Kluyveromyces lactis: one gene and its partner. The protein of the gene in region 1 purifies or fractionates together with the protein of each later gene. This does not show direct contact. Links are inferred from orthologs where the notes say so. Each region holds a gene or a part of one and is shown in the gene's direction. Other genes may lie near its edges.

The links. Proteins that work in one complex are often made in the same cells at the same time.
Region 2: the proteins of SIS1 (region 1) and GPM1 purify together in Saccharomyces cerevisiae (affinity purification with mass spectrometry; 3 studies listed by BioGRID). This does not show direct contact. The link is inferred for Kluyveromyces lactis from reciprocal best matches to the Saccharomyces cerevisiae genes SIS1 and GPM1.

The regions. Positions count from the first base shown.
Region 1 is NC_006040.1:411,032-414,169, reverse strand, and holds SIS1 (type II HSP40 co-chaperone SIS1), read left to right. Parts: upstream 1-1,490; coding exon 1,491-2,555; downstream 2,556-3,138. Other genes in the region: TOR complex subunit LST8, read right to left, coding at 1-808. UniProt on the Saccharomyces cerevisiae protein: Required for nuclear migration during mitosis. It is required for the normal initiation of translation. Might mediate the dissociation of a specific protein complex of the translation machinery. Essential for viability.
Region 2 is NC_006041.1:1,049,603-1,052,347, reverse strand, and holds GPM1 (phosphoglycerate mutase GPM1), read left to right. Parts: upstream 1-1,490; coding exon 1,491-2,234; downstream 2,235-2,745. Other genes in the region: GTPase-activating protein GYP6, read right to left, coding at 2,352-2,745. UniProt on the Saccharomyces cerevisiae protein: Interconversion of 3- and 2-phosphoglycerate with 2,3-bisphosphoglycerate as the primer of the reaction. Can also catalyze the reaction of EC 5.4.2.4 (synthase), but with a reduced activity.

The DNA.
Region 1 (3,138 bases):
AGCATGCTGTGACTAGGTATGCACTGTCTGCTGAAAACGCACAATCCCACACCCATCTCTGATGACCATCTAAAGTGGTTTCAAGTTCAAAATTATCCTCTATATTCCATACTCTAGCTGTATGGTCTGCTGAACATGTTGCTAAATGTTTTACATCCGCCGATAGTAGGACCCTGGTAATATATTTAGTATGCGATTTGAATTTAGTTACGGGCTCCAAAGTGGAAGCATCCGTGTGATGAGGCATCTTCCATACATAACAGTTCCCTTTGTTATTTCCTGCAACAAGCATCGATCCGTCGCTTGCAACGGACAACGACTGTAATGGCGTGTTATCTTCTGGTGTCAGCTGGTTTGTGCACTGGTTTTCACCAAGATCCCAAATCCTGATATTCCCATCCTGATCGCAGGAAATCAATTCCCCTTGGTTCGGATGTATCGCTACTTCATTGACAGGTGCATTATGCTTGTAATTCCTTTGCACAGATGGGGACCGTACATCCCAAACCTTAATAGTCCCATCTTCACTAGACGATACCATCCATCGATTTTCCTGTTGAAATGCAATCGACGTTACGTTCCCTTTATGGCCTTCGAAAGAGGACACCGGATTTGGATTATTCGACCGTATATCATAAAGACGGACGTGTAAATGACCAGCAGCAGCCAAATATTTCTTATCGGACGTAATCTCTAATCGATTCACTTGGGAATCTGCATGTTGAATGGTTCGTGAACAGACTCCAGTCAAAGCTTCCCAGAACCTAATTGTGTGGTCGTATCCAGCACTCGCTAGAATAACAGACATGGCAATATTGAAGTTAGTCTGACCGTACACAATAAGAAACCTCTACCTTGTTCACAGGGGAGAAAAAGCCTTGAAAACTCCTCAGATTCCTTAAGACTTTCTTTCATCTAGTATATTGCATATTCTTTATCACATTAAACCATAATTTGTCAATATTCATGATTGAGATATAAACAACAGCAATTGAAACAAAAGTGGAGGCATAGAGATAGCCACAAGATTGTGTAGTGGCTAATGTCATTGAATGACACCTGATTTGCGGCTTTGTGATGACAGATTTGTATTGGTGGGAAACTTCTATATCACGTGATTGTCACATGAATCTCGCGTGCTTAAAGCATTCATGTTTTTTTACTTCTAGAAGGTTCCAGGGTATACTCTGAAAGAACATGATCGGTTGCAACAGAACTGAACCTGAATATATAGGAATGAAATGTTATATAAAGGTTTTCAAAGAACAGGATGTTTTTCGTTCAAAGATTATTGGTCGTTGGTATTCGATCGACATGTTTAGAGAAGAGTTTTATTGCATCTTTTGTCCCATTGGTATCTCGAAACAGTGTAAACATTAACTGATTCTTTTAGTTTACTCTAATTCTTCTAGTTTAGATAGAGCTAATTTGAACTATCATTCGACATATATACAAAAGGACAATTACCAAATTTGAAACGTCGTAGGAGTATGGTTAAGGACACTAAATTATATGATTTGCTAGGAATTTCGCCTAGTGCAGGTGAAGCCGAGATTAAAAAAGGGTACAGAAAGGCTGCCTTGAAGTATCATCCAGATAAGCCTACAGGTGACACTGAGAAGTTTAAAGAAATCTCTGAGGCTTTTGAGATTCTTTCAGATGCTCAGAAGAGGGAAGTTTACGATACTTATGGTCTAGAGGCTGCTCGTGGTAATGCTCCTCAATTTGGAGGAGCGGGAGGGCCTGGTGGGCCTGGTGGGCCTGGAGGATTTTCTTCTGGTGGGTTTGCCGGGGGACATGCGTTCTCACAAGATGACGCTTTCAACATCTTTTCACAGTTCTTTGGTGGAGGAGGTGCTGCCGGAGGTGCTTCTCCATTTGGATTCTCTGCTAGCGGCGGGTCTGGTGATGATTTCGGGTTTGGAGGCAGTAGTTTCCATTCCTCTTCGGGCGGCATGCCAGGCGGTATGCCAGGTGGAATGCCAGGTGGAATGCCAGGTGGATTCAGTAGACAACAGGCTAGACCTGAAGAAGAAGTTGTTCAGGTCAATCTACCTGTGTCCTTAGAAGATTTATTCAGCGGTAAGAAGAAATCATTCAAGATCACAAGAAAAGGCGCCGGTGGTGTGTCCGAAAAGAACCAAATTGACATCCAATTGAAACCAGGTTGGAAAGCAGGTACCAAGATTACTTTCAAAGGTGAAGGTGACTATAATCCAAGAACTGGTGGTAGACAAACATTACAATTCGTTCTACAGGAAAAACCACACGAATTTTTCACCAGACAAGACAATGATTTGATTTACACTTTACCACTTTCTTTCAAAGAATCTCTTCTAGGTTTCTCCAAGCAAGTACAAACCATCGACGGTAAAACAATTCCAATCACAAGAACGCAGCCAATTCAACCTACTCAAACCTCAACATATCCCGGACAAGGTATGACACTGTCAAAGAATCCTTCCCAAAGAGGTGATTTGATTATTAAGTTCAAGATCGATTATCCAACCTCTTTAACACCTCAACAAAGACAAGCCATTATGGATAACTTCTGAATGAAAGATGAAGAATGTCTTTATAACGAAAATAAATCATAAAAGTATGACATGACGATTGCAAATTTAGACTTCTGACGGTGATCATGTTTACAATTCAACGTCTGCCAGAAATATTATCTTCCCACCATTATGGTTCTATGTCATATGTTTTCATTTCTTTAAATGTTTACTCCCATTAATTATTTCCAATTCAAATGTTCCATTCACATTCACTTCAGCAGAAGCAATCTTATCGTATGGCTACATTGTCTGTCGATTAATGCGTTAACTTTCTGACCACACTGTACACTATTTTCAAAAAAATATCCTTCGGTAAATGAAGCACGCAACATAAGTTGAGGACGCAATATAATATGCGAGAGAATACAAGGAGAATTATTCAATGATTGTTAATACTGGTAAAGTAAGAAACGGGACGTTTCATTGTGACACCTCGACTTCTGTTCACAATGTAACCATTTGCATAGATTTTAACCTTCATTTACCTTTTTATTGAGCAAATGACATCATGCAAATAAAAGACATACCAATCTGCAAGTTTCCCGACTTCTATTTGGTTCCGAACAATTGATGTCTGCCA
Region 2 (2,745 bases), on another chromosome or scaffold:
AGCTCACACGTAAATTGTAAATAGAATAGCGGACCGGCTGTACAAAAATAAAGATGAGATTGCGTGGTGGTGCCACGGCTGAGAAAATGCGGGGAACGTCGATTTGGAAACGAAGAGAAAAGTATCACCATTGTCCTGGTACCATTGGATGTCAGATGTCAGATGTCAGATGTCAAGGATGAAGGGTTCATAGATAAGGCCGGAGTTGAAACGGCTGAATAAGCTAAGTATTAAGTGGGACATCAGAACAAGCCTGGCGATAACCGGTACAGAGGATTGTGTAATTTTTCCAAACGACTAGCCGCCGTCGAGGCGGCTGGTCTGTTCTCACTGGTGTTCTGAGAGAAGTTCCATTTTTTTTTTTTAAGGGGATTTGATGTGATCACGCATAGAATTGGAGAATCCGAAATACCCACTTGGGAGTGTCCTAAGGGTTTCTCCTGGAGCGAAAAGACTATAGACGTAAAGCAAATTCACTACTCCGTACTATAGATGGCTGGGTGGATTCACTTCTAGGGTGAAAAGTGTGATCAGTCGGCTGTTTTGTCGTCGGCGTAAGGATTCTTGTGGCCCCTCTCTTTCTTATTTGTTAACCTCAGTTTTCATCCAACTTCCGAATTAATTGTTGCGAGGGGGGAAGTAACGACAACAAAACGCAGTAGCACAAAAAAAAGTTGGCTAAGCCGTGTCCGTGCCGTGCAGGGATTTCTAGGAAGTACCCTTAATTAGCGGGGAGGAGCATATGTTAGTGGCAAATAAACTTAAATGGAGGGATACTTAACTGCAAAAGCCGACTCGAAAAACGGAAGGTTATTGGAGAAGCAAGTACGGACTTAAAACCTTAAGGGTTGAAACAAATGTCCAGTATCGGTTTGCCTGTTTGTTTTATTAACTTCTTCATAGACGAGAAGTAGGGAATAGCACTTCCGCGATCGGCAGTTCGTCAAAAGAAAATGAAAGTCGTGATGGAAGCAAATATCCATAGCACGTGAGTGGAAACCGCATATGTTACCCGGATGCAACATATTGCATCCGGGTAACATATGTGTTTTTTTTTTTTTTTGGTTCTTTCCACCTTTTTCGGTATGGTTCCCGGAGCATCCACTTTTTTTTCTGGCTTCTCATTTCTCGTTCGAAGAAACAGTGGCTTCCCGCCCCGGGATTCCTGTAACCATTCCCATCACATGTTCGTGTCCCCCGGTTGTGTGCCAGTAGTTGAACAGGAGCTGCTCGACATCTGCCACAGCACCTGCTTCAGTAGCTGCTCAGCAGCTACTCAGCAGCTACTCAGCAGGTCAGCGTACCTCACCATCACCATGAACATCACCCATCGTCCACTTTTTTTCTAAACTGATTTGACTTATAAAAGGATCGCATTACTAGAACTTATAAAGGCTTCTTTGACATTAATTCTAATACTGCTATAATAATAATAATAATAATTACTGTAATCCCAATAACCAATCAACACCAAAAAAAAATAATATAATATGCCAAAGTTAGTTTTAGTCAGACACGGTCAATCCGAATGGAACGAAAAGAACTTATTCACCGGTTGGGTCGATGTTAAGTTGTCCGCCAAGGGTGAACAAGAAGCTGCCAGAGCTGGTGAATTGTTGAAGGAAAACAACGTTAATCCAGATATCCTTTTCACTTCCAAATTGACCAGAGCTATCCAAACCGCTAACATTGCTTTGGAAAAAGCTGACAGATTGTGGATTCCTGTCGTTAGATCCTGGAGATTGAACGAAAGACACTACGGTGCTCTACAAGGTAAGGACAAGGCTGCCACTTTGGAACAATACGGTGAAGAACAATTCACCACCTGGAGAAGATCCTTCGATATCCCACCTCCAGTTATCGAAGACGACTCTCCATTCTCTCAAAGCAACGACCCACGTTACGGTGACGTTGACCCAAGTGTCTTGCCAAAGACCGAATCCTTGGCTCTAGTCATTGACAGATTGTTGCCATACTGGCAAGACAGCATCTCTTCCGAGTTGCTACAAGGTAAGACCGTCATGATCACCGCCCACGGTAACTCTTTGAGAGCTTTGGTCAAGCATTTGGAACACATCTCCGATGCTGACATTGCTAAGTTGAACATTCCAACCGGTATCCCATTGGTGTTCGATTTGGACGAAAACTTGAAGCCAACCAAGCCTTCTTACTACTTGGACCCAGAAGCTGCTGCTGCAGGTGCTGCCGCAGTCGCTGCTCAAGGTAAGAAATAGATGAAATAATGTTCCCTTTCTTATTTTTAGTATAGATTATTATGTTTAAGACAATGAAATAAAATAAATTTTAAAGACAAAAAAGTTAACAAGGAAAACCTGCATGTCAAGCATTTTTCACTTGGATAATCGCCATTTTGCACGTCGTTTCAACCTCATCTCCATCCGCAGTCTATTTACGTCATAATCTTTGTATTTTTTGTACCATTCACCGTTACTACCTTGTAGAATTTCTTCTTCGAGCGGCGATGCATTTGCATCTGCATCTGAATCTGCATGCTGTGAATCTATGGTATTAACAGCACGATAATCGTACATGATCTTTGCCCATCCCACAACTTTTTCAATCGGTACGCATAGTTTTGGATAGTTCAATAACAAATACAAACACTCGCTTTCGTCTTGCGCCTCTGTCAACTGCGGTACAATGCACATTAACATCACTATTGTCACACATGCAATGAATTTACCCTTATTTTCAATATCGAACAATTCATACCATATGGGCAGA